Danio rerio: one gene and its partners. The protein of the gene in region 1 purifies or fractionates together with the protein of each later gene. This does not show direct contact. Links are inferred from orthologs where the notes say so. Each region holds a gene or a part of one and is shown in the gene's direction. Other genes may lie near its edges.

Region 1 (4,554 bases):
AATGATAAAGTGTTTAGTATATACCTATATTTAGTGCCTACTTAAAATTTCACATTATTCATATACGCAATTCAAAATAGTTCAAATATGCCTGTAAATTACAGTGTATTGATTAGATTTGTCTTCATGAAAATTAGACATTTTAAAATTAGATTTGTCTTAATTAATTACCCATTATTTTGAATTCACTTAAGTGAAAATACTATAGTGCGTTAACATCATCATAATAGCTTATAGCAGTAGTCTCAAACTCAATTCTGGAGGGCCACAGCTCTGCATAGTTTAGCTTTATCCACCTCCAACTCACACCTGCTTCATAGTCACTGGTAGTCTTGAACACCTTGATTGGTTGAATCAGCTGTGTTTGATTAGGGTTGGAGCAAAACTATGCAGAGTGGTGGCCATCCAGGATTCCAGTTTGAGAACTATGGCTTATATGATCAGTGTTTTTCTAAGCTCCATCTTCAAATTACGGTTTATTAGCCTACATGAATGGTTTAGTAGCCTTTGTAAAGGTGACCAATATGTTTCAATTTATCATGTCATTTCATGGTCAACAGGTAGCCTCAAAATCTCCTGCTGTGTTTCAAAGCCATATCTTTTAGTCAAGTTGTGCCATTACGGAATATATATCGATAAAAGTGCACTGAAGAGCTGTGAACAATGACTTGGTCAGTATTTCTGTACTCCCACAATGATTAATGAACCAAGGGAAATGCAAGGAATGACAAACCGGAACAGCAATATGTGTATGATTATTTGTAAACAAATAAAAATGTATTTGACTGTTGTTGGTATCAAAACCAATAAACCTTTAACAAATATACACTTCATTTATGCGTTACGCGACGAATAATGTTGGTCGTCAATATGTTTGATTAGACCATTTGAGAGCTGAATTGTAACTGGGTGAGACTGGTAGAAAGACTACAAACTATTAGTAATCGATGTCGACATCTAGTGGTTGCTAATTTTGTGGACTCGCTTGTAAAGGACAGTGTTTACGCACTTCCGTTTTTTTTTTTTTTTGTAATAATTTACAGCACTTTCGACCTTTAAATAAATTAGCGAATATGGTTGATGAAAATCATATTTAACTTATGTTTTAAAGGGATGTCTAATTTGTTAAATTTAGTAGACTAACTGTTAGACCACTTACACTATGTTTGTTTGCTCAGGTAATTTCGGGGTCAGCCCGCTTGGACTGGTTAACAACCTGTTTGGACCAGCCACTTGAACCTCTCACTAGAATTTAACAAAACTGTTATGTTTAGCGGAATTTGGGTTAATACAAAGATTAATGCGATGCAAATTGATCAGTATAACTAATGTAAATTCAGAAGTTATAATTGTGTTCATATGAACAATTCCGAAATACGATTACATAAATTAAAAATAAAAAAAACGGTTGGTGTTAAAAAAAGATTGAAACTCCATAATGATACAAGATAAGGCCTTACTTTCAATATTGACCGCACCAATATGACCACCAACAGACACCATCCGCGTCGGCGGCTATTGCATCACTTCCGGGAAATAAGGTCAAAAATTGTTTCCCTTGTCCGCCATTTGAAATATTTGAACTTCCTTGTGACAACTTCCAATGTACGTTTTGGTTTACACTGGACAATTATCAGAAGTTCTGGGTGAATAGCCGCGGTTTTTGCGTCCCATGCACGTTGGAATACCGACGTCAATTGTTTTGTTAATCGATTGGGCCAAAAAGCGTTGAAAAGTGTGCGAATGCTGCGCGTATTCGAAACGTGTTCAACAACGGAACGCGGTAAAGTTTTTGCATGAGTTGAACGCTGCTTGCGGATAAGGAGAGGCGAAGGGAAGGCCTGTGAAGCCTGGGCTTTTTTCTAGCGCTAGTCATGGCCGGAAATTTTGATTCGGAGGACCGAGGGAGCTGGTATTGGGGGAGATTAAGCCGGCAAGAGGCGGTTTCGCTGCTCCAAGGGCAGAGGCATGGAGTGTTCCTGGTGCGGGACTCGATCACTATTCCCGGGGACTACGTGCTGTCTGTGTCGGAGAACTCCAAAGTCTCTCATTACATAATAAACAGCATCAGCAGCAATCGCCAGTCAGGACCAGGTAAGCGTTTGAACAAATGTATTTAAATACTATTAACGACAGGACGGATAAATACTGCTTTAGCAAAGCGCTTAGCAGCTCGATGAAACTTCTATACTACGAATAGTTGTGCATATTCAGTCTAAAATCTCGCGTCATTCTGGGGTGCTGTGTAACCAGGGGTTCGGTCTTGTACACTACGGGCCCCAAATATCATTCTCGGGTGTAAAATGATTTGTATGCTTTCGTGTATGATGCCAGATTTGTTATGTGAAAATTGTATACAAATTCGTTTTATAATATAATATAGGAAACGTTTAGTTGCAATATGTGTCATTATTTAACATAGTTGTTCAATTGTTCACACGTTAGCAGATTCTTTGAAGTATCTTTATTTTATCTACTTACATTTTGCTTCGTTTGAATCGTGTCTTATAATTTTGTGTTCTTGGTTTGTTTATTTGTTTGTTTATATTAATTTGTGCATATTTATCTTGACTAAATGCTCGTTTATTTCAGTTTCACCCTTATTTTAAAACCGCTGCTTCATTACATTCTTACTCCGACATACATGTCTCACCTTATCAACTTTTTATATAACAAATACAATCTTATTAGTTATGTGTCTGTCATTCATTTGAATTACACGCATTATTATAGGTCATGTCAATCACTTATAACATAAACTCACTTTTTTTGTTTGCAGAAATGATCAGCAATATTTAATTTCCAATCTTTTTTGCTGCTTTTCCCATAGGTTGAACCCATAAAATGTTACATTGTTATACTATGTAGTTTTTGCAACACTTATCAGATTTTCATGGATTAGAGAGAGTTCAGTTTAAATGTACACCCCGATAAAAGTTCTAAACCTATATTAGTTTCTCTTTTCTGTTGAACACAAAAGAAGATATTTTGAAGAATGTTGTAATTAAGTAGCCATTTACACCTCCATATTAGAAATAAAATGCCTACCAAATTCCTATGTTCAGTAACTTTTTTTCGTGTTAACATTATGATGAGTAATTGTGAAAAAATTGAATTTTTTGCTGAGCTACCCCTTTAAATTTAAGCAGATCTTGATTATCCATCCATCATCTCATAATGTCATCCCGCAGGGCTTGCTCCTCCTCGGTTCCGGATTGGAGATCAGGAATTTGATGCCTTACCTGCCCTGTTGGAGTTCTACAAAATCCACTACCTGGACACCACCACTCTCATTGAGCCCATTAGCAAATCCAAGCACTCGTCTTTCATCAGCGTCAATGCGGGGACAGGAGGAGCTCCTCCGAGGCTAGAAGAGGAGTACGTCAGAGCTCTCTTCGACTTTCCCGGCAACGACGACGAGGACCTTCCATTTCGAAAGGGTGATGTTCTTCGAGTGCTGGAGAAGCCAGAGGAGCAATGGTGGAATGCTCAGAATTCAGAAGGCCGTGTTGGCATGATCCCTGTGCCCTATGTGGAGAAGTACCGACCTGCCTCACCGACATCAGGTGCACCTGGCGTATCAGTCAGTGGGTCCGGTGCTCACGGCAACTCTGACGGCCACAGCACTCAGTCTCCACCTCTGCTTGGTGAACCGGGCCAATACGCCCAGCCCACATCCTTACCCAATCTACAGAATGGCCCAGTTTATGCCAGGGCGATTCAGAAGAGAGTCCCCAATGCCTATGATAAGACAGCTCTTGCTTTGGAGGTAACAAATGTAAACTTTTCTGAGATATTAATAAATATAAAAATGAAAATATTGCATCATTTATGAACCTTCAAGTTATTCTAGATGTATCCAGTAGTCAGCATTTGAAGTGGATCAAAACCTTCCATCTTAAGTTGTACTAAAATAGTCCTATTTAACAACATCCATTCTTGCCATGATTGTCAGAACTTTATTTGATCTACTTTAAATGTGGACTACTATATGTCCTATTCCTGACAAACACTAATGTGACTTAGCTTTGAATTGCAAGTAAATGTACACAATGTTTGCTTCAAAAAAGCACATTAATGTGTTATAAGTCATTCATACTGCTCAGTGGGTTATTTAATATTTTCTGAAGCAAAGTGTTAAGTTTTTGAAAGAAAAAAAATGCTTATTTAAAAGATTATAAGCTCATATAAACTGGAGCTGCACAATTATTTAAACACAATGTTCATGCACGTCGTTTTGTGAGTAAAAGCCAGCTCTGTGGTCAGTAGTATATCTCCAGCTTTCAAATGGAGCACCATTTACTAGTTACTCATAGTTCATGATCTGTTTGGTAAATGCAGCTACATCTAAAATCAAATAAAGATACCACATTTAACATGTTTTAACTTCCAATTTGTCTTTGAGATAATGTGGCTATTTCTGTTCAATAACTTTGTGTTCACACCAAAGGCGCAAGAGCATCAGAGTTCTCTCTGGCTTTCACAGTTCCAGCGGCGAGAGCGTCAAAAATCGATACATTAACCCCGTATTTAAAGGAGCCGTTGCAGCATATC
Region 2 (4,004 bases), on another chromosome or scaffold:
TGAGACACCAAGATATCCTATCACTTAAAAAAAAACACTTTTAAAAAGAGATATGTTTGTGTAAACTAATTTTTGCAATAGAAACATAAAAAATCTGAGCTTCATTTTGGGAGAGCACTTTAAGTGTTACTTCAGATTTCTGAGTGTGTCATAATTTAATGGAACAGAATGTTTTTATATGTCCGGACATGCTCTCGCTGCAGATGATTCCTCCCTTTTAGCGTTCCTGGATGGATTATTAAGAGAGTGAGGTTGGCACTGGGATACAGAAAGGATAGTTTGGAATCTCAGCAAAGGATTGTTGTATTTGATCAGTCCAGTATGGATGGATGCCACCATGCTAATTAAAATTTCATCTTGCTAAAAAACTAAAGCACTCTCTCACACAGTTACTGTTTATAAGTCATTGTTCATCTCATTATTTACTCTCTCTAATGTTGATCCAAAGTTGAAGTATGCTTTTGGTAGAGGTACAGGCTCAGGACCCGATCCAGATTTCTTGCGGCGCAGGAATACATTTCAGAATAAAACGTGGTAGCTAACAATGTAGCGTTTCTGAGTCCCAATGTTATTTCTGGAACAGCATATCTGTGTTTTCCTCATTTTTATTGAGCACCATTAGACACTCAAAACCTTTTTTTTTTTTTTTTTGTCTGTGCACGTATCATCTGCATAATGGTCCTAAGTGCGGACTTTACCATGGAAGAGCAAAATGATTTAGCTTGCATTAGAAAATGGTCATTTACTTTTAAGAAGCCCACATTCGGCAAGTCTTATGTATGGGAGTCTTTTTCATGCGTTATATGAGGCAATTGGAAAAAAATTATGTTTTTTTTGGAAGACTGGAATCTCAGGCGGCACTCATGTCTCATCGCAAAGGGGCAAACAAAACTGACATTTAGCCTACAATCCTTGCACAACCACCTTGCACAACCGTTTTATGTTATCTCTCACTTTTAGTAGTACCCAATTTAAACGTGAAATTTTTGAAACCAGATCTAAATTTAGCGGGAACGGTTGGGTCAGGTAGAAAAATTATTTCAAGCGGGCAGCAAGTGAACAAAGGCTGAATATACTGCGGGATCGGTCGGGTGTGGAATAAAACCTGGCGGGACCGGGACTAAAAAATGAGTAGCGGGTGAACAAAAGGCTAAATATACGACGCGAACAGTCAAGTGCGGAATAAAACCTGGCGGGAGCGGGACTAAAAGAATGAGTAGCGGGTGAACAAAAAAAGGCTGAATGTACGGCGGGAACGGTCAAGTGCGGAAAAAACCTGGCGGTAGCGGGACAAAAAAAATGAGTAGTGGGTGAACAAAGGCTGAATATACTGTGGGAGCGGTCAAGTGCGGAATAAAACCTGGAGGGAGGGCGACTAAAGAAAATGAGTAGCGGGTGAACAAAGGCTGAATATACTGTGGCAGCGGTCAGGTGCGGAATAAAACCTGGCGGTAGCGGGACTAAAGAAAATGAGTAGCGGGTGAACAAAGGCTGAATATACGGCGCGAGCGGTCGGGTGCAGAATATAACCTGGCTGTAGTGGAACTAAAAAAAATGAGTAGCGGGTAAACAAAGACAATATACGGCAAGATCGGTCGGTTGCAGAATAAAACCTTAAGGGAGCGGGACTAAAAGAATGAGTAGCGGGTGAACAAAGGCTGAATATACGGCGCCAGCGGTCGGGTGCAGAATATAACCTGGCTGTAGTGGAACTAAAATAATGAGTAGCGGGTAAACAAAGACAATATACGGCGGGATCAGTCGGGTGCGGAATAAAACCTGGCGGGAGCGGGACTAAAAGAATGAGTAGCGGGTGAACAAAGGCTGAATATACGACGCGAACAGTCAAGTGCGGAATAAAACCTGGCGGTAGCGGGACTAAAGAAAATGAGTAGCGGGTGAACAAAGGCTGAATATACGGTGAGAGCGATCAAGTGCGGAATAAAACCTGGCAGTAGCAGGACTAAAAAAGATGAGTCACGTGGCATTCATTTCATTAGTGGACACAAAAGTAGACATGTAACTTAAGCTTTTAAGCTTAAAAAATGGTGTAAAATGCCATAAAACTAGTATAGGAGTCATCTATATGTGCAGTCTTGTAGAAATTATGTATTGAAAACTTTAATTTGAGAAATGGAAATTTAACACTGACTAATATTTTAGTTTGTTTATCACATATCATATCACAATAATTACGTGATTTCGAAAGAAAACTTGAAAGCCTATAAATTAAAGCCTAAAAACATATATAAAGTCAGTAAACAGCTTCCCCTTTAAAATGACTGAAGTTCTAAATTTAGCTTTTTAAATACTAAATCCTACTGGTTTATTGGCATCTTTGAGCTGGAATAAAAGATTTTTCACCCCAAGAATCAAAATATATTAAAAAAAAAAAAAACAACTGAAGAACACCACACTACAGCTATTATGATAACAGTGGGAATCCCTGTCAGAATGATTTTCCCCCTCCAATGAATGATAAAAACATTGACAACCAATCAGAATGTAGCTCTCTTTAAAGAGCTTTACAGAGCATTTAAAGCTGCAGTCAACAGAACTACAGTACATGCTTATATAAAGCACTGTTATCATGTGTTCAGTATAGTTTTTGCTTTTGGTTTGAGCAAGAATTCTCAAACAATTGTTTTATTTCTTGTTTGTGCAGTCAACTTCCAGTTCAGGAGACTGAGATCTCCTCTGCCACATCTCTTCCTGCTAAGCTGGAGCTGTCGCCCCTGCGCGAGCCGCCCGCGTCCTGTCCGCCCCCTGCGTCGCCCACCTCAAACAGCAGCAGGCAGGCAGATCCAGAGGAAGAGGGAATCGCTCACACCATCTCACGCTCTCCTGAGTCCAACAGCTGCAGGGCCACGTACACCAACCTGGGTAAGGCAAACACTCTCACACACACACACACACACACACACACACACACACACACACACATTTGATGGTTCACTTTATACACTCTGTCCATTTATTTGTGTGTGCATTGTAAGGTTCTGACCTGATTTGGCTGGCTCACGCTGATAAATTTGGGTTGTCATGGCAGCAGTGTGCGCGAGAGCATTTCTAGACCCATAAATAAGATCTGTTCTCTCTATCTTTCAATTTGAAGTCATTTAGTTGATTGAGTCGCCCTGAAGTTGTGCCGTGAAGTGAGGTATGGTTGTCACTGAATTGCTTTGCTCCCTTTTTAAGTTATTGTTGGGTTTATTTGTAAGATTTGTTGCACTGGATGGTTTATGTAGACTTGCTCGCAGCAAAATTAAATTGCAACTCTTGTATGTCATGGTGGAAAAATATTTATATTAAGGCTGGTAACTGATATGATGTGATGGTTGGGCATGGGTATCGTTAAGGTTTTAACGATATTACTACTTTTATCGATACCACTTATTGGTTCGGTACTTTAACGGTTCAAATATCGGTTATTTTTGTACTGTTTTTTTATTTAAAAAAAACAAACTGAATTAATCAAAATTGACAACATTTTATTATTAAGTTTTTAATGTAAAATAATGCAAAACCAATAAATGTAAAACAAATAAATCTTAAATTTTCCTGTTAAAGAATGGACAATGGTTTGAAGGAAAATTAGTTTTTAACCTTTTTTCCTCTGGAGAAAAATCCACATGTTTGCCTTTTCTTTTCTGGCAGAAGTCGGGATCTTTCTTAGTTTCTTGTGCGCCCTGCAGTTGAAAATACCCTCCTTTAGTTACAAAATGCAGTTAAATAATCAAATAATGCTTTCAATCTTTCTTTAACACATTCACATAAATGAGTCACCAGTGTTTGGGGAGTTAACAATGTAAAAATAAGCCGTTTTCTTTTATAATTTCTTAATAAGATTAGTGGTCCCAATTTATATTAAGTGGCCTTAACTAATATGTACTTACACAGGAATTACTAGTTTGTTACAATGTTATTATTGTGTAAATGCATGTATTTACTATGTACTTATGCTTGATTAAATACCTGTATGTAAATGCATCTGTAATTAACTG
Region 3 (4,004 bases), on another chromosome or scaffold:
ATCAGCTATAAAAAACTGGCGTAACTTACTTTGTTTCAGACCCTTTTGCTGCAGTATTTGGCAATGAGACTTTTGGCGGAGGTTTTGCAGACTTCAGCAGCTTAGCAAAGGTAAGGATCTTGAACGTAAAACAGAAGTCCAGTATTTCAGCTGAGTTGCCAACCATATGATTTAAATGGACCCGACTGCAGCCACTGAACTTTTTATTTTGCCTTTCAGTCTAATGGCAATGATCCATTTGACTCCAGTACAAACAAGAATTTATTCAAGGAGGACACCCAGTCAGATGTACCGCCAGCATTACCACCCAAAACAGGAACCCCAACCAGACCTCCACCTCCACCCCCAGGTAAAATGGATTTTATCTATTGATGCACTGACCTTTATTTCATGGCTGATTCGGGTTGACCATTTCTTTCTTTTTTATCTTTTTTTTCTTTTGCAAACAAATTTTCTGATGCAAATTATTACATTATTCATTTTTATTACATTTTTTTTCCTCCAAATCCTCATTTTATTCCTTATATATAATATATATATATATTAGTTTTTTTGTAAATATATTTGTTTACTTTCAATTTATTGCATTGCAAGTAAAATTATACTATTTTACTTTAGCTTTGTGAAATGATTTTACTTAAAAACATAAATGTATAAGGAACAGTAGAAATGCATAATAACAGTAAATTCATTCTGCCTGTTGGTGGAATAGGTATTGCCCATAGTACATTAAAAATAGATGTTTACTATAGCCTTTTTAGAGGTATTTACAAATGAAAATAATAAACATCCTTATCATTGTTTTCAACATATCAAGCCTCAAATAATCACCTAAATATGAGTTGTGATAGAAACCGTCCAAACACGTCATATTAGTACAGCATTTAATTAAATGTTAAAAACATCACACAGTCATTTAAGTATTGCAGTATCAAGTATTGCAAAGAAAATATTTGTTCAGTTTGTTAATGTTAATGTGCTTGGCTTGTAACATTAAAATCATTGCAGTGCCGATTTTATGCAAGTCATAACAGAGACTGGCTTATTTAAAGCGCAAATCAGCAGGTTGTCGATCAAAAGTTTCTAAAAAAAACTAAAAACAAATACAAAAAAAACCCAATTCCTTCATTTGATTTTTTGCCAGTTGATTGGTGCATGTCTAATCTGAACAAACCAGATTCCAGATTGACTTAATTGCTCAGTTCAGAAAATAATGGACCACAAGGCTCCATAACGTCACCTGTATTTGAGTGCTGTGTTGTCTCTATGTGTATGTGTTAAAGGTAAGCGGTCCAACATCCACCGATCGGAGTCGTCCGAGTCATTTCACCGCCGCGGTCTGTTCAAGGCCCAGGGATCAGCAGAGTTCTCCTCCCTTCCCGCTAAAGACTCGGTACCAGACCCCTTCGCCCCTTCCTCACCCCACCAAGCCCCGTGCGACCCCAACCGATTCGCCAGCTTTGACAAAGTGAGCTCCTCCCCCTCTCCCTCTCCTGACCCCCAGTAGTGACCCTGACATTTCACCTGCGCAATGCAGCAGCCTTGACCTCTCGACCCCTCATAGCCCGTTTGTTTTCCCGGAAGGCTCCTCGTCCAATATTTTGACGACTCTTGCTTTATGTGAAAGCCACAAAACTGTCACTGTTCCTGTTTTTTATTTTATTTTTTGTAAATACATATGAGCTTGTAATGAAAATATTTATCCAATAGCGAAACTGAATCAAGGCTAACGCTTCTACTAAAACAAAACCCCAGTGTTATTTAAACCTACTATTGTTATGACTTCGCAGTATTCCTAACATCACGCATATAAGTTCTCACTGGCTGTGGAAGGAGAGGTGGGGCTGCTTGCTATTGGCTGTTTTCAATTCATCCCCCTGTGCTCTTTTGTCATGTTCTCCACCATTGGTTGAGGCTTGCACGTTTATTGCCCTGTCGTACTTTTATTCACTGATTTGCCTTGCCTTGCACTGCACGAACTAATCACTGTGTCCACTTGTTCTGTTGGGCTGCTACTTCCCACACATTGGTTCTTGGTTCCATCTGCATCCCATCATTCATGCACCACCTTTTTTTATTTTTAGAAGACATACAGTATGTTTTGTTTTTATATATGCCAAATTCAATAATCAGCTAAGCTTATAACAGCACTTGTTGGCTCCTTTCTGTATTATTATTATTATTTTTTAAATTAAAACTTATCCATGTGAGCTCTCTTTATACGTTGATGCATCCAATAAATTAAGCCTTATGAAGGCGCAACTCTTTGCTAATGAAGAGACTTCAAGAGAGAGATGACTTCTTTTTGTTTTCATGATTTGTGTTGAAGTGCTTTCCAGCTAACTGTAGTGATTACTCTCTCGATCCATTGTTGTCTACACCTTTACTTCTGTGTGAAATACCTGCATGTTCATGATGGGCCGTATGAGCAATCCAGGCCTAGACATATGAGTGCATCAGACGAATAAAACATCAGACTAAAACATCAGCAATGAAATGAGTAATCATTAAGCATATTTCTTAAATTGGTGTTAAATTACTTTTTATTTTACGTCAAGTCTCATGTGTCTGCAGGCTTATGAGCTGATGTTAGCTGTGAAGCTCTATGGATTGCATCATGGCACACATCTTGTATCTCTCATCCTTCTGTGTCAGTAGCTGTAGCACATTAGTAATTTTTCCTTTTATGTTTCTAAATGTAACAGTTCTTGCATGTTGATCTTTGTGGGATTTTTTGTATGTCATCATTATACTTGAGACAGGTTTTTTTGAACGCTCAGTTCTACAGTAGATAATTCTCTTTTAAGTTATATTTTTTCGGTAGTCTACAGAACAAACCACCGGTATACAGTAACTTGCCTAATTACACTAACCTGCCTATTAAAACTAATTAAGCCTTTAAATGTCACTTTAAGCTGTATAGAAGTGTCTTGAAAAATATCTAGTAAAGTATTATTTACTGTCATCATGACAAAGATAAAATAAATCAGTTATTAGGGTTGTTATTACTTCAATTTCAACTGGATTTTATATACATATACAGTTGAAGTTAGAATTATTAGCCCCCCTGTTTATTTTTCCCCCAATTTCTGTTTAACGGAGGGAAGATTTTTTTCAACACAGTTCTATCATAATAGTTTTAATAATTCATTTCTAATAACTGATTTATTTTATCTTTGCCCTGATGACAGTAAATAATATTTGACTAGATACTCTTCAAGAAATTTCTATACAACTCAAAGTGACATTTAAAAGCTTAACTAGGTTAATTAGGTTTACTAGGCAGCTTAGGGTAATTAGGCAAGTTATTATATGATGATGATTTGTTCTGTAGACTATCGAAACAAAATATATCTTAAAGGCGCTAATAATTTTTACCTTAAAAATGGTTTTCAAAATATTTAAATATGCTTTTATTCTAGCCAAAATAAAACAAATAAGACTTTCTCAAGAAGAAAAAATATTATCAGACATACCGTGAAAATTTCTATCCTCTGTTAAACATCATTTGGGAAATATTTTCAAAAGAAAAAAAAAGTCAAAGGGGGGCTAATAATTCTGACTTTAACTGTATATACATACACACACATGTATGTATGTATGTATATATGGTTATATATTCCCTTTAAAATGCACTTTAAGATGAATACAAGCATAAAATAGCTAGAAAAATACTAAGTTATGCCATCAAAGCAAAGACAAAAGTTAGTTATTAAAAGTTAGTTATTAAATGGTTTTGTATTTAAAAGGTTAGAAAAATCATTCCAGTATAAATTACTTGGTAGAGTTTTTTATTATAATAAAATATAATATTTTTAATAACTAATAATTCAACTGTCTTCAACTGTATATAACAAAAAAAGAAATAAAAAGAAAACCATATTTTGGTTAAAATATAGTTACATATTATTTAAAAATAGATTTAGGTATAGTTTTAATGATAAAACAAAAAAAGTACAAAATTCCTCCTTTGAATTAGGGTTGCACGATATTGGAAAACTGAT
Region 4 (4,004 bases), on another chromosome or scaffold:
CTGTATATAGTCTTTACTCTGTTAATGTGTTATAGGTTATGTGTTATAATGTAAAAAGGTTACGAAAACAGGCCTTCAAAAAAGAAAATGCATAATTTTTTTAGACAAAAGGACTACATCAAAATGACAAAGCAGTGAATTGTAGGTTTTCTTATTTAGATTTCTACAGCAGGTCTGTCTTATGTTTTGGGAATTTCAGAAATGTTGCTAGTATTTTGATAGAAAGTCATGCATGCAGTATAACAGCAAATTAAAGGCATGGACAGTTTGCCAGATGCAGCGTTTGGCTTTTTAAATAGGATTTTTGAGTTTAGGCCAAGGTTGTTTTTAAAGTAAGCACTGGTGGTTTCTCAGCAGTTGATTCAGGTGTGTGTGTTTGTGTTTGATATGAAGGTATTGTATGTCATGGAGCTGCTGCAGGATCAAGAGAAAGGCCGTGCCAGTTTCACTGCAGTCTCAGAGTTTCTGCTCACACACCCTGTGCTCAGCTTCGGTGTTCAGGATGTTTCTCGTGCTCGCCTGCGCCATACTGAGGTCCTTCCTCCTGAAGAAGAAAGCGAAAGCATGACAGCAGGTCGGTTTTTCTCTTTGTTTTCATGTTAGCTTCATGTTCAAGTGAGTCATTCAAATGATTCTTGTGTGGTTTAATATCTTCTCACAGAAGGAAACCAGGGAACCTCTGAGTCCAGATCAGGAATTCAGATTAAACTCTACTGTGTGCATACAAAGTGAGAATTTCTTATCTAACAACAACTCTACTGACATGAAGTTTGAATTTTAAATGTGTAGCGTTTAATATGTTGTTATAACCTTCTTATGACACAGATCACTACAGGATGTGCAGATCTGGTTTCAGCCCAATCAGGGGGACTCCTCTTCACTCTTCATGCCTCAGTCTGGATCACAGGATGGGTTCAGTGAGTATGAAGTTTTATATGTTTATATTTATGTTCCCTAGATTGCCAATGCAGAATCTAAAGGGATATGACGAAAAATATTTTTACCTGCGGTTGTGGTTTGAATTTTTGAATTTTTTTTTCACACTTAAATAATTTAATTAATAAATACTTTTAATGTTAAACTTTAATATATTGCACATTTTAATACCGCAAAAAAAGTATTTAGGAGTATTTTCATGTTATTGGTTATGTATGTATTTTTAATGTTTGTTTTGTTTTTAAATTTTCCAGGTTTTTCTGACCCGCTGGCTGATCTGAATGTGGAGGCAATGAGCTCTGACAAGGAGTCTGGCGATAGTGGTTCACAAAATGACCTGAGTAAGATTCTGCCTCTTCCAAGTCCCGCTGACTTCATGAGTCCAGCCCCATCAGCCTTGCCCAAACTCATGACCCCGGATGCCTTCATGACACCCAGCGCCTCTGTAAGCTTTTACTATCTTAGCGTCATCCTTTAGGTTCCTTCAGTGATGAATACATTCATCATGGTTCTTGTTTTTTCAGATGCCCGCTTCTCCTGGCAGCAGTGCTAGCAGTCTGACCATTGTCACGGCCATGAGCAGCTCAGACAGCGGTGCAAGGTGGTGTATTTAACTAAATGTTTTCATAGTAAAACTTGATTAAACCTTTTAAATCTCATATTAACTTCACAATGTGCAAAAAATGTCATACCGTTTGTCATCTCCTGCAATCAAAATGCAATATTTTTTTTTCTTTTAGAGGTGGAGATGATCTGACTCAGAGCCCTAAAATGTCTGTTGAATGTGTCAACAGCAGTTTCGCCAATGCAGGCAGTCCAAGATCCAACTCCATCCTCATCTCAGGCCTTGGGGAAAACATCCAGGTACCAATGGAAATGTCATTCTCAATGTTGCAATATAGCGTGCCTCAGTAGGTCTTATCTTTGTTTCAGTGTAAGAAAGATGTTGCTTTACACCAGGTGGTGAGATCTACTTTTCTGCAGAGTTCCGCTTCAAGCCTGGTCACACAACTAAGTTAACTAAGTAGGATTTAAAGGAGCATTTGGTAAATAAAGAGAGGTGCATTTAATCAGGGTTGCAGCTAAACCAGGCGTGTCCAAACTACGGCCCGCGGGCCATCTGCGGCCCGCAATCAGTTTTGTGGTGGCCCGCGAGGCTTTTTATAAATAATAATAGAATCTGGCCCGCTATACAAAAATGAACGTAATTCAATAAATAACCACCGGGTGTCGCTATTACATGCATTCAATTAAGCAGTAGTTCTTGTTATGATCTATCTATCTATCTATCTATCTGTCTGTCTGTCTGTCTGTCTATCTACACACAGTTGAAGTCTGAATTATTAGCCCCTCTTTGATTTATTTCTTCTTTTTTAAATATTTCCCAAATGATGTTTAACAGAGCAAGGACATTTTTACAGTATGTCTGATAATATTTTTTCTTTTGGAGAAAGACTTTTGTTTTATTTCGACTAGAATAAAAAGCGGTTTAAATTTTTTATGAACCATTTTAAGGTCAAAATTATTAGCCCCTTAAGTCTTCAGAACAAACCATTGTTATAAAATAACTTGCCTAATACCTTAACTTGACTAGTTAACTTTATTAACCTAGTTAAGCCTTTAAATGTCACTTTAAGCTGTATAAAAGTGTCTTAAAAATATCTAGTCAAATATTATTTACTGTCATCATGGCAAAGATAAAATAAATCAGTTATTAGAAATGAGTTACTAAAACTAATATGTTTAGAAATGTGTGGAAAAAAATCTCTCCGTTAAACAGAAATTGGGGACAAAATAAATGGGGGCTAATAATTTAGGGGGGCTAACAATTCTGACTTCAACTGTATATATATATATATATATATATATATATATATATATATATATATATATATATATATATATATATATATATATATATATATATATATATATATATATATATATATATATGCGTGTCTGTGTGATGTATGTAAAATTTGGCCCGCGACAACGTTTGTTTTTTTGCATCTGGCCCTCGGCCCAAAAAGTTTGGACACCCCTGAGCTAAACTCTGCAGAAAGGTAGATCTCCAGGAACAGGGTTAAGAACCACTACTTTACACACTCCCTGTAGTACCAACACAGTACTTTATAAAAGTTTGGGTATGGTTTTTGAAATGTATGTCGTTATTAATCAAGGATGCATTCGATTTATAGTTCACTCAAAAGGAAAAGGTGGCTCACCATTTACCAAAACCTTTGGGTTTGATTTCCAGCTTTCTTTAAAATATTTTTTGTTGTGTTTCACAGGAAAAAAAATCTTAATCTGCATTTAGTGCCAGTAGAGGCTGAGTAAACTTAAATACAAAAGATTGCTTGAATTATCCCTTTAATTCAGTTAGTGATAATAGAGTTTATTGTTGTTACAAAAAAGTGGCATGTTTAGTAATGTTTTTACTTTTAAATAAGAGCTTTGTTATTTCATAAGCAAGTGTTGTCCAAGTGTACCATTGAATAATAATATTATATTTACTGAACATTTACTAAAAGGAGCAACAGAAACCTAACTGTTAAACACATTTTTATTATGCCCTATTTTTTACAATTTTTATCTGTAAAGATTTTAAAGAAATATTTTTAAATGTGAATCCTTCAGAAAGGCTAACTTTTTTTACCAAAAGTAAACCTAAACTGTTTTAGATTTTTAGCTTATGTATTATTTATTGCTGATGATGTCTTTTTGTTGTTGTAATTAAATTAATAATAATATACATATATAATCGCTGAATATATGTGACATTTAATGAATGTTGTAAATTTGATCTGGTTTTTTTATGGAATAGTCAGAGAAGCTGATCAGACTTCCTCACTCACAATATAAACTGTCAATCCTTCAAATTTGATTCCAAATCATTTACCAATTCTTCTGTTTATCTGGCATCCCTCTATCTCCACTTTTCCATTTAAAATCCCAATCTGGTTAGGCTTTCGCTCCCCCACTGGTTCTTTCTTCATCCCTCCTTCAAGAAGCCTCTCTGCTCTGCGAAGCTGCTCCTTATTCTCACCGACTCCCCCTCCCTTATTTCC
Region 5 (4,608 bases), on another chromosome or scaffold:
CAGTGACAGCTCACGTACCTTTATTTCTGAGAGTGTGTGTACCTCCTGTAGTAAACAGTTAAGGAAAAAAATATTTGCTTTTTTACCTGAATGCTTTTGATTGTGAACATTATTGTACAAGCACATATGATTCCCAGCCAAGAAACTTACTGTCATAACTGAAACATAAAAGTCTCTACAGTTTATGTAATGTCAACAATAGCCAGTGTTTTGAAACCCTGTGAACTTTGATTAACTGCATGTACCTTGTGAAGTGAAAACAAGTGTTATTCTTTTACAGAATCATTTCATATCAAGTCATATTTCCAGTGTTTTGGTAAAGTTAGTGTGTGCAGAGAAAGATGTGTTTTATTTTTACTATTTCCTAAATGATGTTTTACAGAGCAAGAAAATTTTCACAGTATGTCTGATAATATTTTTTTTCTTCTGGACAAAGTATTTTTTTAAATAGTTTTATTTCGGCTAGAATAAAAGCAGTTTTTAATTTTTTGAACATCATTTTAGGGTCAAAATTATTACCCCCTTTAAGCTGTATTTTTTTTCGATAGCCTACAGAACAAACCATCATTATACAATAACTTACCTAATTACCCTAACCTGCCTAGTTAACCTAATTAACCTAGTAAAGCCTTTAAGCTGTATAGAAGTGTCCTGAAAAATATCTAGTAAAATATTATTTACTGGCATCATGGCAAAGATATTAAAAAAATCAGTTATTAGAAATGAGTTATTAAAACTATTATTTTTAAAAATGTGTTAAAAAAATCTCTAACAGAAATTGAGAAAAAAATTAACGGGGACTAATAATTCATGGGGGCTAAAAATTCTGACTTGAACTGTATGTCTCTAAGAATATCCAGCAGATGGCGCTACAGGTATGTTGTAAAATAAATGAATAAACAAATAAATAAATAAATATACAAATAAAAATAGGGAAAATGTTTAAAAGTTAAATAAAGCAAAAGTTAAAGAAGGGCCATGTGTTTTAATTTACTAAAAAAAAGTTTAGGTTTACCTGCGGTTTTCATGCTCTGGTTTAAACTTTAAATTAAAATAAAATGAATAAACATTAAAAATATAATAAAAACGCACAGATAACATTGGTATATTTATTTGTCATTATTTGTTTTGCACTATAACTACTGACAGTAACTATTGTCTAGTAAGCTTAAGGCAACTAATACATCAGTACAATATCACTATTATATCCCAGGCAAATAATGCACCATGAAACAGAGTGAATTAAAGCGAAAGAGATTTTTCTGTAATGCTTTAACATTCTTTTAAACATCAGATTTGTTTAATTTCTTTCAGTGGACGTGCGTATGAGTGTGCATGTGTGTGTGTGTTTTCTGTACGTGTGTGCGAATGTGTGTCTTGCTGTCTGTCTGCGTGTGTGTGTGTGTGTGCGGGTTCTGATCTGGCTGAAGTTTGCTCTTGTCTCTGTTCCTGTTTGGATGATTATTTCGACGCATAATGAACTCCAGCAGTTAGGAAACCGTCTATATCTTCTCGAGTTCAGAAGACAAAGATTAATCGCACAAATGGTGAAGTTTACCTCAAAGTTTTTGAATGTAAGTGATTTATGTCGTGTTGCAGTTTGACGCTGTTTATAGCATTAGCGTTAGCATCGGATGAACTTAAGCAAATCACAATTAAAAGTACCCGCAAACCGAATGGACCAAAAGTAACGTAAAGATGGATTGTGCTTTTTGAACGTCTTTGTTCTTGTATATTTTGTCTGTAAAATGTAGTTTAAAGGTTAAGTGATTATGTGAGATTAGTTAGCAGAAGTTAGCTGAGTTAGCCTCTCACACGGAGATTCAGAGAGAAAATGAACTTTCAGTAAGTTAAGTTGTCCATTTTACTAAAAAAGAGAAAGTTTGTTTTAACATAACACACTTTTCTGACAGTTGGCACTTCTTGACATCCGTCAATAGTTTTGTCGTGACAATAAAAAACATCTCAACATTTTCCTGTTACTTAAAATAAGTTCTATTGAAATAAATATGCACACATTAAAACTAAACCCATTAATACCAGCATTAATGATCGAATATATATTAGACAGTTTAAAAACTTTCATTTAAAAGTCTTTTATTTACTTATTAATTGATTGATTGATTGATTTGTCCATGTTTAGCCTCTGCAATATCACACCTAGGATGAAATGTCAATCGAAACGCCTTGTCTGTCTATCAGATCTTCAGTCTGTCTGGTCTGACTTAATAAAGTGTGCTGTTATTAATCACATGATGTTCTGTTTTTTTTTTTCTTTTCAGGACAATGTGGACTACAGGTCTGTTGTAAAACTGAATCTGGGTCATTAAAGTAGTAAATCCTCCAGTCCGACAGCATGGATCCGCTGGCCCGGTCCGGAGGGGAGATTCAGCGCAGAAACCCACAGCATGACTTTGAGCTGATCCAGAGAGTTGGCAGTGGAACATATGGAGACGTGTATAAGGTAACTGAACAGTTTCAGACCCTCATCTCCACTTTAGCAGCAATATATACATGCATACATGCTTGCATATATAGTGTCAACATTTGAAGTAGGGCTGCACAGTATGTCGTTTCAGCCTCAACACCGCGATGAGTGCATCTGTAATAGTCCCATCGCAAAGATATGCAATGTTGAATCTGACCATGAGCTTCAGAATTGTATCTAAGCACTGTATATATAAGCAAATTTCTATGATTTTTTTCTTACTTAGAATTTTTGTCTGGTTCTAGTCCATTTATCTACATTTCAAAGTGAAAACAAGATTATTTTACTTACTCCACTGGTATAGTTTTAATTTTTTTAGGGAAAAACTTAAATTTCACATTTTTTCTGATAGTAAAAACTAAATATATTTACTTGCTCTTGGACTAGAAACAGGACAAAGTAAGAAAAGCATTTTTTGATTAAATTTCTGTACCTGAATACTGTTAGACTCCCCCAAAAAACTATCAAATTGAGCTATTCAAACTATCTGTTGAAACTGTATGCATATTGCAATGTTTATCACAGAAAATGTAAATATGGCAATATCAGATTTTTCAGATATCGTGCAGCCCTACTTTAAAGGGTATCAAAAAGTTTTTCAAAAATGTCCTAAATAAACTCTGGGCCTTATAGAATATTACCAGGACAACTTTGATGAAAGGATTTGATATACATCAAATGTTGACTAATAGGGATGCTCCGATCAGGATTTTTGCAGCCAATACTGAGTACCGATTCCTTGTCAGGGTGAACAGCCGATACAGAGTACCAATTCTGATCCTTCAAGCTTTATAATGTATAAAGCACACTTTCCCTCTAAGTATGATACTTAAGTGGAGATCTCTCCTTACCTAAGAAAATAAATTAAGGATGCTGCATATAATACCTTAAACATGTCTCTTGTAACCATTTAGGCCAAAATGTCATGTCATAGCCAAAAGTAGCTTTACAGAAAACATTTGATAGCACAGATTAAAAATAGTAAGAAAAATGACTAACAAAGCAATTTGGAAACCACATGTCTCAATCAGGAAAAAGTCTGGAGCGCATATTTGATGCATAAGAAGTTAAAATGCACACCTATAAATTGATTACTTCACTACTAAAAGGAAATAGGCCTATAAGCTACTGTTTATTGCAGTAAGTAAAGTAATCTTGCAATATTGTCTAAAACACAGAATCTTCTGTTCTTATATGTAAAAAGGCCTAAATACATACAAGGTCATTCAAATATTTTGCTCATCTCCAACTAACACAAACACTACGGAACAAACGCAATCGGTTCATGAGATCGGCCAGATTAGCAAGTACCAATCGAGTCATTACATGTCATTATCGCCCGATACTAGTCTCCGGCCAATAGATAAGGGCATCCGTATTGACTATATAAAAATACATACATGGTTTCCACTATACACTATACATTTATTTCTCCATGGCTGGCTCATTTAAAACATTCAGTTGTTGTTGTTGTTTTTTTTAATAGCGGGTTATAATTGCACCAAAACTTATTAAAAGGAAAGGAATTATAACAGCACAAACTTTTCTGTAACCGTAGTAGTGCTGTGTGTTATCCGTTTAACCCTTTAAGGTTACATGCTGACTGACTGACTGATGTGTGAGGCCAGCAAACATGACGTAGCTTTCAGTTAAGATGAACAGTTTCCATAATTATACTTTATAATAAAAAATAAAAATAAACTTTATAAAGGTATATGGCTCTGCATACAATGACTTTATATTGCTGGAGTTAATAGCTGTTTCACTTTACTTCAGGACGCATTAATGCCATTCTGTAGGTCTATTGAAGACATTTATAAATATTCCTAGCAAATCTAATAACTGTTGACATACTTGCTACATAAACGCACCAAATCGCACTTCAGCAGCATTTATTTAAGAGCTGAGAAGAAAATCCTTGAGGAAACACTGCATACATACATGTTTATGTGTATGTATTTATGTATGTAATAAAAGTTTGTATTTTTCTATTAATTGTCTTTAGTTTTAGCCGGTTACAGTTTGTGAATATGATTATGTGCTTGAAGTATTTTCTTGTTGAGTTTCATCAAGAGTAAACAGCTTTAGGCTCTTCCATTATTTACATTTAAGGGCTGTTG
Region 6 (4,478 bases), on another chromosome or scaffold:
TTAAATCTTTTTGACTTTCATTAGTACTTCATATTAATTAATGAAATAATATATATGCTATATATGTTTTAATTATAAAAATATTGATAAAAGTAAAATGCAACATGTATACCTTTTATAATACATTATGTATGTTTTGTAGGTTATTATATGTATTATTATAGTGGGCCTAAAATATTAATATACATTTTATCATTAAATCAATTAACATCATCTTTTTTATTTATTAATTTGTGCTTACACAAACAATTATGATTGCATATAGCCATCATTTTATTAACATTTAAAGTTAGATTTTTTTAATTAAATATCAGCGTCCTTTGTTATTTTTTGTAATTTGTTACACAATATATTTTGAAATAAAAATCATATAAATCATATAAAAATCAATAAAATCATATTATATTTATATGTATTATTTAATAAAAAGTTATATGTAATATTTATAAAAAGAGATATTTTATTGATATAATATGTTGTTGTGTATATATATATATATATATATATATATATATATATATATATATATATATATATATATATATATATATATATATATATATATAACTGTAACATATATGTACACACACACACACACACACACACACACACACAAATAATGTTATTTACTGTTTGACTATTTCTTTACTATTAAATTAAATATTATCATCCATTAGGAATATTTGTAAATTAAGTTAAGTTATATTACTCAGTAAATTAATTATATTATATAGGAAATGAACATATGTATTATTTTAAATACATTTTTACATAAATAAAAGTATTATTTATGGAGGACGAAACCTGCAAAAATTATTAATAAATACACAAATATATAAATGAGTAAATAAATTAATAAATTCTTGCACAAATGAAATATGCAAATATATAAATAAATGAGTAAATAAAGCCGTGAATTCCTGCATTCTAACTTTCAGTTTAGCATCTTCTTATTCCCCTAACATTCTTGTAGTTTTGTTAAACATTTACCTGCCCGCGCTATTAATTATTTATTTTTGCAGGAATGTATGGATTATACATTTATTTATTTATTATTAGCATTTTTTGTTTTTACAGAAATTTATCGTCCTACATAATTGTTTAGCTACGAACACCAAGTATATATTTTAATGAAATTGTTATTATGTGTTCATTCAACATGTACGGTTTTAATTTATTTTACTTTAATTTTTTATTTTTTTAATAGTTTGCTAATGGTCAACAGGCCAGTACGCGGGCGCGTGTCCGACTCCTCACGTGCTCGCGCTGCGCGTGCACTTGTTGAAAACTTCTCCGCGTGCAATTGCGGAGCACAGACGAGCCACGAAACAGAGTCGAGCGGTAAATCGCGGGCTCCTGCTCCCGTTATCGACCCAGAACGACCGCGAAACATGGACGATTTAGGTAAGCGTGATCTCCTTTAACCTTTGACATCGGAAAATTGTGAAATGGGAAGTTTGACGCGACGCTAGAGCGCTAAAATGTGGCTGAAGACGCGGATGGAGCGCGCTCCTGTTGCCAACGTCATCGCGCGCCGATGCTTGACTGCAGCAACACGCTGAAAAACATACTCTCTGCTGCGGTTTAAACCTGGGTTTATTCGCGTATTTTACTCTGTTTTCTGTAGCTTCTCAATGGGTTGTCGGAGTCAGCCTGATTCATTGTTCACATTGAGGTGAAGTTGGTGTTATTCACGTATTCGTTCGTTTTTTTAACAGTGAAAACTTGTGAAGCTACTTTGGGCACTCAATCTGAAATCGCATTTAAGTAACTTATGACTTCAAAACAACATTAGCACCATTACATTAACTGTGTGTGAACACTATTGTGCTTTGATACTCATTGGCTGCTAATATGATTGAGATTTTGCTAATAATACTTTTCTGGATTCATATTTTTAAGGAGAATGAGCAAATATAAAACCAACTTTACCTCAATGCTCTTCACAGCTGCTCTTGTAACACGAAGATACGTGATTAATATCAGATCCTCACCAGCGCAAACTCACAGTAAGCTCTATATTTACCCCTAAATACAGAAGTTGATGCTAGTTAATATGCTTGTATATAGTTCCTGTCTGCTTGTAACTTCTGAAATGTGTCAACAAAACAGTGAAGTGTCAATTCACAGCCGTCCTCCAAAGTTCACTTACTATCTGCTGAAACTTAAAGTTGAACATGTACAGTTTTCTCACCATCAAGTGGTTCAAAATCTTTTTATGAGTTTCTTTCTTCTTTTAGGAAGATATTTTGAAGAATGCTGAAATTAACCGTTGACTTTCATAGTAGGAAAGACGAATACAATGAACGTCAATGGTTACAGGCGTCCAGCTCTCTTCAAAATATCTTATTTTGAGTTTATTAGAGGGAAGAAATGAGTAAACGATGACACATTTTTCATTTCTGCGTGAATTATCCCTCCATAAACCTAGCTTTTAGTCTTATATTGTGCTTTTGTTTTCATGTCTTTTGTGAAATGCTCAGTAAACATGGTTTCCAATGCCTTTCTGTGTCAACACCAGTCGTTGTTAGCATTTAACTAGTACTGTCTTACTGTTAGGTAGTCAATCCCGTTATCTACAGCTTTTGATGTTGTGGCTTGTTGACTTGTTGCCTGGGGCGACGAGAAAATGAGCCGCACTGCCTAATCTAACTAATCTCAATATTAGTGCCTTGAGGCTGCTGGGTTAAGAGTGACGCGCTGTTTAGTAAAGTTATTTTCGTTTATCTGTGACGACCAGGCATTTGTTTAGACGTTAATGTGGGACCAAGATCAGAAATTCACCAGGACTTTCTTATGTAATGCCAAAAATCACAGTACAGCAATTCTATTGTTACGCATGGGACATTTGCAGTATAAAAAATGTAGAAGACCAGTGATTCTTCAACTTTTTTCACCAAGTACCACCTCAGAAAAAATAGTCCCTCCAAGTGTCACCATAATGACCAGTATTAATGCATATTAATGACGAAAACCTGCTAGAAATGCTCGCTAAGTATTAGGATTTGGTCAAACATGTTAATGAGTAGGGATGGGGATTGTATTATGTCATCAAATGAGTCTTTTCCTAAATATGCCTGACTAGATATTTGGGTTTATATGCTGTAAATGTATGGAATCAGATAAGTCTCAAAAGAAATTCACGCAAAAGACACGATGTACACATGCGTAGCCAAATTCACGTGCGTAAAATATTTATTCATATTCACAAAAAAAATTCACGTGCACAAAATAAAAATAAGTTTTCATAAAATATGTTTCACAAATGCAAAACACCATTTGCAAATTTATAAGAGTGTGCAAAAAGTTTTGAATGTTTAAAACATGTGAGTTCATCCTGAATGAGAATGTGCAAATCCTCTTTCACGTACGACTCCCCCTGGATACGTGTGTGTGTATTTTTGAGACTTTCCTGCCAGAGTCAGGACTACTCGTACCTTTCAGCCAATCAGATGAGAGCTGTATTCAATGAAACCAACTCTACGCTTCTTTTGCGCAGACTGTTCCTCTCCAGCATGGCGAAGGGAGAAAGCAGCAGTCGCACTTTTTTTTGAATTTATTAATTTATTTGACCATATCCTCACTCTTTTAATCCATTTTATCGCAGCTCCGCTCTTCTTATGTATTGTCTCGTAGCCGCATGAGCAAGACGTATCCTGCAGGGTAATGATAAGCATCATTCCGGCCACATGATTACAGCAGCGCCATTGTGGTCCAGTGGTCAGCACGTTAGGTTCTTATACATTTGCAAATGGTGTTTTGCATTTGTGAAACGTATTTTATGAAAATGTATTTTTATTTTGAGCACGTGAATTTTTTTTTTGTGAATATAAATAAACATTTTACGCACGTGAATTTGGTTTTATGCACGTGAATTTGGCTACGCATGTGTACATCGTGTCTTTTGCGTGAAATAGTATTGAGTCTAATCTGTCTCCATATAAATGTTCTTACACTGAATTACATTTTAGTATGTGTTCTGTAAATCATGGTAAAATGTATTATTTTGATCTAAGAATATATTCAACAGTCTGCCATGTAGTGCACAGAACTAATATAACATGCTAGAGCTAAATCACATATGATGCTTTGTCCCATGAATAGACAGCACATGAATGAAGAAATCCACTCATAAATATAAAAAAACTCCAGAGAAAATCAATTCCAGGTGTGCGTTTTGTCATGGTTTCCTATGCTGCACGTGGCTGAGAAGCAGCAAACTGGCTAACACCATACTTCAACCAGATTACACTGTTATATTTTAGAGTAGTAAACAAAATTGGCCATAGGATATGAGTGCCTGTGTGAATGCAAGAGTGTATGGGTGTTTCCCAGTACTGGGTTGCGGCTAGAAGAGCATCTGCTGCGTAAAACAAATGCTGGAATAGTTCATTCCGCTGATATATAAGGGACTAAACCAAGGAGAATGAATGAATAATTGTTAGAGTAGTCTCTCATAGGTCTCTCACAGTGTGGGC
Region 7 (4,004 bases), on another chromosome or scaffold:
CTATTAAAATGTCATCCTCAACGTCTTATGATTGCTTTGCTGGTCCAGTGTGTTCTTATTTGTTGGCCTCCTTTTGCACATTGAAGGAAACGTTTCGCCAGTAACTAACTAACTAACAAACTAGCTAGCTAGCTAATTAACCTAAACTAAAGTGTTACTAAAAAGAAATCACAATCAATGACCTTGTTAAAGGGATTGTTCAACCAAAATTGTACATTCATTCATTAATTTTCTTTTCAGCTTAGTCCCTTTATTATTCTGGGGTCGCCACAGCAGAATGAACAGCCAACTTATCCAGCACATGTTTTAGGCAGCTAATGTTCTTTCAGCTGCAACCCATCTCTGGGAAACATCCATACATACTCATACTCTATGGACAATTTAGCCTATCCAATTCACCTGTACCGCATGTCTTTGGACTGTGGGGGAACATGCAAACTCCACACAGAAACGTCAACTGACCCAGCCGAGGCTCGAACCAGCGACTTTCTTGCTGTGAGGTGACAGCACTACCTACTGCGCCACTGCTTTACTCTTTTTGGTAGGGAAATGTCCTTAAGCTGGGATTCGAACTCGGGACGACCTGACATGCTACAGCACCATATGTCGACACACTAACCACTAGGCTATTCTGCCGTCCTAAAATTGTACATTTTAATAAAATACACAGAGAAAAAAATATTGTTGCAAACTATTTATATGGGTTGAATTTAAACAAACAAATTGAATGTAGTAATGTTTAATTTGATTATTTTATTTGTTTGTTAAAATTCAGACCAAATGAATTGTTTGCAACCACTTACCTTAAAAAAAATTGTATAAGTAAAGTCAATGAATATTTTATTCAGTGTATTACCTCACCCTCAAGTCGTTTCAGGCATTTATTTGAGTACAAAAGAAGATATTTTGAAAAATATTAATAACTTGTAACTATTGACTTCCATAGTAGAAAAAGCAAATACTATGGAAATCAATGGTAGCAGGTTTTCAACATTTTTCAAAATATATTTCTTTTGTGTTCAACAGAAGAAAGAAAGAGGTTTGGGACATGTGAATAATGAGTAAAGGATGACATAATTTTGTCTTGGTTGAACTATCCCTTTAAGACCCAGAGGATAGAACATACATACATTCAACAGTTTATAAATGTAATCTTGTTGTATTACTGTCTTAATACATTAAACATTATCAAAATAATAGATTTAGGAAATTAAATTTAGCATATTACAGCCATATATTCAAGGTGTACCGAGTTTAATTAAATCAAATATTAGTAAAAATATGTTCATTTGTTGTTTGAACATACTGAAATCAGTGTTGATGGCTCTTAAAAGTCTAAAAATGCCCCAAATTATTCCCAAACTAGAAACTAAAACTCAACTTACTTAAACTTTGGCTTCCAAAGAGAGACTTCAGGGTACAAGAAGCATGATTCAGTGTATAAAAATGAATTAAATTGCTTTGTTCATTCATGAAACACCCACACTGAATAAATATGTCACCATCCCACTGCACTGTATCTCCACAGCCCTATGGACAGCCGAGCCAGAACGACATTCACAAGCAGCCTCTTCCTCCACTACCAGGTCAGATTTACACACAACAATAATCCCTGTCCTAGTCATTTCATGCTGCCACACAGTATTTGTCTGTCATATAGTCACACTTCTCCTGCTTTAATTCCCCTGTCGGCCGAGACTGTCATTGTGCAGAGTGAGTCAGCGCTTTTTCTGCTACTGTTCGTTGCTCTTTGTTGGACGCTGCCCAAATCTATTACACAGCTCCTTTGAGAGGTGCCTTCTGGATCAGCGGCATTGCTGACAATAGAACGGCACCGCTTAAGTGCACTCACCTGAAGGTTAACTCACTTTAACTTCACCTTTGTTTTTCTTTTGTGTTCTTTTTTTCTTTAGTGGGTGTTAAGGATGGAGGCTTGTTTGACGACCCCTCATACGTTAATGTGGATAAACCCCGCCTCCCAGCATCAGCAGCAGCCAATGGAAATGCTCATAGAGACGCGTTTGACATGAGTGAGTGATGGATGCTTGGTGACTTTTTGTAATATTTTAATGATTTATTTATTGTGCAGGGTTCCCGATCAGGTCAGTGGTTCAGATTTTTACTTGCCCTGCCAAAATTTTCACTGGCTCCACCAAAAAAAAAAAAGTTATTGGCTATTTCTTAGCCACATATTTTAAATAATGTGTTAAAAGCCAAACATAATTGTATACATACATTTTTTATTCAGCAGGACATATATATGTCTATATAGGATATATATATATATATATATATATATATATATATATATATATATATATATATATATATAAAAACGAGAAGTGCCATGAGATTTTTAATGACCTCAGAGAGTGAGGACTTCAGTTTAACGTCTCATCCCAAAGACAGCGCTCACTTCACTGTGTTCACACCAGACGAGGAAAGCGTGGATATATTGTGCTATTCGCGTGTAAATAGACGCATGAACATTTGAGTTTACTTGCTGTTTTCGTGCGTCAAAATCGCTTCTTTCACGCATCAAACCCTGCTTAATTCGCGCATCAAATCCGATTCATTAGCGCGTCAAATCTGATTCATCCGCTTGAAAATCACTTCAGAACAGACGCTAATTCACGTGGTGGGCAGGGCTTCTGTCTGCCCGGTGACTGTAGCTTCATTGCTAAATGTCTAACATAGATTTTATTGAGAAAATAACAGTGTTTATGTGCTTTATGAAGGCTGAAAAACAGCGTTGATACGTTTGGAGCAGTTCACTAGATCCTTTCAGAGGTGCACCCAGCTCTGTGAGCTCATAAACTCCTCTAGAAACTTAAACTAGATGATGGAAGCATTTAGCGGTGCTTCTGACTGAGCCAAGCCCAGTTGATGAACTGTTGTTGGTGTAGACAGGGAATTTTCCCCCGGGACACCAACAACAGGCGCTACGTCATAATCACGTCCACACAAGAGCAAGCTCCTGATTGGTAAACGCGGCACGAATGTCCGCTGAAGTTTAGATTTTTGAACTTGAATGATTCATGCGAAAAGCGAGTCAAACGCGCAAAACATTCAATTTGCGCCGTGCCATTCACATGTATTGAGTCATTTGCTTCGCACCATGCCATTCATGCATATCACGGTGCAGGATGTCTATTCACGCCTTTGCCTTGACTTAACATGTAAATCATTCCCACTTGATGCTTCTTCCATGTCTGGTGTGAACACAGCATAAAAGTATAGTGTCCCCTTAACTTCACAGGGGCATTAGGGTTGAGTGCCCCCTGCTGCTAGTAACAGTATTAATTTGTTGAAGCCATGTTATACTAAAAAAAACAAGCAGACAAAAACTTGTGAAACAAATTTGACAAATTCTTTGTAACAATGAAAAAATCTTCATTGTCTGTTTTGTTTGTTTTTTATCGTATTGACCCCACATTTTTGTACAGGTTTCTATCATTTTACAAAACCAAACATTCAATAAAAACCATAAAGCATAATTTAATGAATAAAGTATGGACCTAATAAATTTTACGCTTGATGATAGCTTATTTACAATTGAATGTGGTAAAGCAGGGTAGTATGCTGTGTTTTTTCCTATTTTGAAAACAATACTTTGGTTTACTATACTTAGTAAATTAGTTCAGTAATACTGCAGATGTAGATTCACAGAGTAAAAATGCTCCAACCATCCAGTGATGCTCTGCTTTCTTTCTTCAGAACCGTTTGATGCAGCGCTCGTTGTGTCGGGTGCAGTGGCACTTCCTCTGGCAGAGCAGCTGCAGAACGAGCCCTGGTTTCACGGGCCTCTGAGCCGCAGGCAGGCCGAAAGACTCCTGACCAAGGATGGAGACTTCCTGGTGCGGGAGTCAGGCACCACACCAGGCCAGTACGTCCTCACGGGACAGCAGGGCGGACAACCAAAACACCTGCTTCTGGTGGATCCAGAGGGAGTGGTGAGTAACAAGACGAAATTTAACCACACATTATTCACAGGTAATAAGTGA

The links.
Region 2: the proteins of crk (region 1) and peak1 purify together in Homo sapiens (affinity purification with mass spectrometry; 4 studies listed by BioGRID and IntAct, with this or other methods). This does not show direct contact. The link is inferred for Danio rerio from reciprocal best matches to the Homo sapiens genes CRK and PEAK1.
Region 3: the proteins of crk (region 1) and eps15 purify together in Homo sapiens (affinity purification with mass spectrometry; 3 studies listed by BioGRID and IntAct, with this or other methods). This does not show direct contact. The link is inferred for Danio rerio from reciprocal best matches to the Homo sapiens genes CRK and EPS15.
Region 4: the proteins of crk (region 1) and edc4 purify together in Homo sapiens (affinity purification with mass spectrometry; 3 studies listed by BioGRID and IntAct, with this or other methods). This does not show direct contact. The link is inferred for Danio rerio from reciprocal best matches to the Homo sapiens genes CRK and EDC4.
Region 5: the proteins of crk (region 1) and map4k5 purify together in Homo sapiens (affinity purification with mass spectrometry; 4 studies listed by BioGRID and IntAct, with this or other methods). This does not show direct contact. The link is inferred for Danio rerio from reciprocal best matches to the Homo sapiens genes CRK and MAP4K5.
Region 6: the proteins of crk (region 1) and pxna purify together in Homo sapiens (affinity purification with western blotting; 4 studies listed by BioGRID and IntAct, with this or other methods). This does not show direct contact. The link is inferred for Danio rerio from reciprocal best matches to the Homo sapiens genes CRK and PXN.
Region 7: the proteins of crk (region 1) and shc1 purify together in Homo sapiens (affinity purification with western blotting; 3 studies listed by BioGRID and IntAct, with this or other methods). This does not show direct contact. The link is inferred for Danio rerio from reciprocal best matches to the Homo sapiens genes CRK and SHC1.

What each region holds. Positions count from the first base shown.
Region 1 is NC_133190.1:27,216,670-27,221,223, forward strand, and holds the start of crk (adapter molecule crk), read left to right. Parts: upstream 1-1,571; 5' UTR 1,572-1,874; coding exon 1,875-2,094; intron 2,095-3,191; coding exon 3,192-3,769; intron 3,770-4,554. UniProt on the Homo sapiens protein: Involved in cell branching and adhesion mediated by BCAR1-CRK-RAPGEF1 signaling and activation of RAP1.
Region 2 is NC_133200.1:8,121,810-8,125,813, forward strand, and holds part of peak1 (inactive tyrosine-protein kinase PEAK1), read left to right. Parts: exon of another isoform or gene 1-1,731; intron 1,732-1,810; exon of another isoform or gene 1,811-2,398; intron 2,399-2,665; coding exon 2,666-2,883; intron 2,884-4,004. UniProt on the Homo sapiens protein: Probable catalytically inactive kinase. Scaffolding protein that regulates the cytoskeleton to control cell spreading and migration by modulating focal adhesion dynamics. Acts as a scaffold for mediating EGFR signaling.
Region 3 is NC_133183.1:18,301,192-18,305,195, reverse strand, and holds part of eps15 (epidermal growth factor receptor substrate 15), read left to right. Parts: intron 1-39; coding exon 40-110; intron 111-219; coding exon 220-349; intron 350-1,283; coding exon 1,284-1,468; intron 1,469-4,004. UniProt on the Homo sapiens protein: Involved in cell growth regulation. May be involved in the regulation of mitogenic signals and control of cell proliferation. Involved in the internalization of ligand-inducible receptors of the receptor tyrosine kinase (RTK) type, in particular EGFR.
Region 4 is NC_133193.1:23,287,376-23,291,379, reverse strand, and holds part of edc4 (enhancer of mRNA-decapping protein 4), read left to right. Parts: intron 1-393; coding exon 394-574; intron 575-661; coding exon 662-728; intron 729-825; coding exon 826-917; intron 918-1,190; coding exon 1,191-1,381; intron 1,382-1,460; coding exon 1,461-1,537; intron 1,538-1,676; coding exon 1,677-1,800; intron 1,801-3,901; coding exon 3,902-4,004. UniProt on the Homo sapiens protein: In the process of mRNA degradation, seems to play a role in mRNA decapping. Component of a complex containing DCP2 and DCP1A which functions in decapping of ARE-containing mRNAs. Promotes complex formation between DCP1A and DCP2.
Region 5 is NC_133188.1:40,224,378-40,228,985, reverse strand, and holds the start of map4k5 (mitogen-activated protein kinase kinase kinase kinase 5), read left to right. Parts: upstream 1-1,396; 5' UTR 1,397-1,547; exon of another isoform or gene 1,548-1,574; intron 1,575-2,282; 5' UTR 2,283-2,356; coding exon 2,357-2,464; intron 2,465-4,608. UniProt on the Homo sapiens protein: May play a role in the response to environmental stress. Appears to act upstream of the JUN N-terminal pathway.
Region 6 is NC_133180.1:7,312,079-7,316,556, forward strand, and holds the start of pxna (paxillin a), read left to right. Parts: upstream 1-1,335; 5' UTR 1,336-1,391; coding exon 1,392-1,404; intron 1,405-1,517; exon of another isoform or gene 1,518-1,634; coding exon of another isoform or gene 1,635-1,675; intron 1,676-1,902; coding exon of another isoform or gene 1,903-2,009; intron 2,010-4,478. UniProt on the Homo sapiens protein: Cytoskeletal protein involved in actin-membrane attachment at sites of cell adhesion to the extracellular matrix (focal adhesion). Recruits other proteins such as TRIM15 to focal adhesion.
Region 7 is NC_133191.1:24,101,393-24,105,396, reverse strand, and holds part of shc1 (SHC-transforming protein 1), read left to right. Parts: intron 1-1,528; coding exon 1,529-1,586; intron 1,587-1,913; coding exon 1,914-2,030; intron 2,031-3,717; coding exon 3,718-3,953; intron 3,954-4,004. UniProt on the Homo sapiens protein: Signaling adapter that couples activated growth factor receptors to signaling pathways. Participates in a signaling cascade initiated by activated KIT and KITLG/SCF.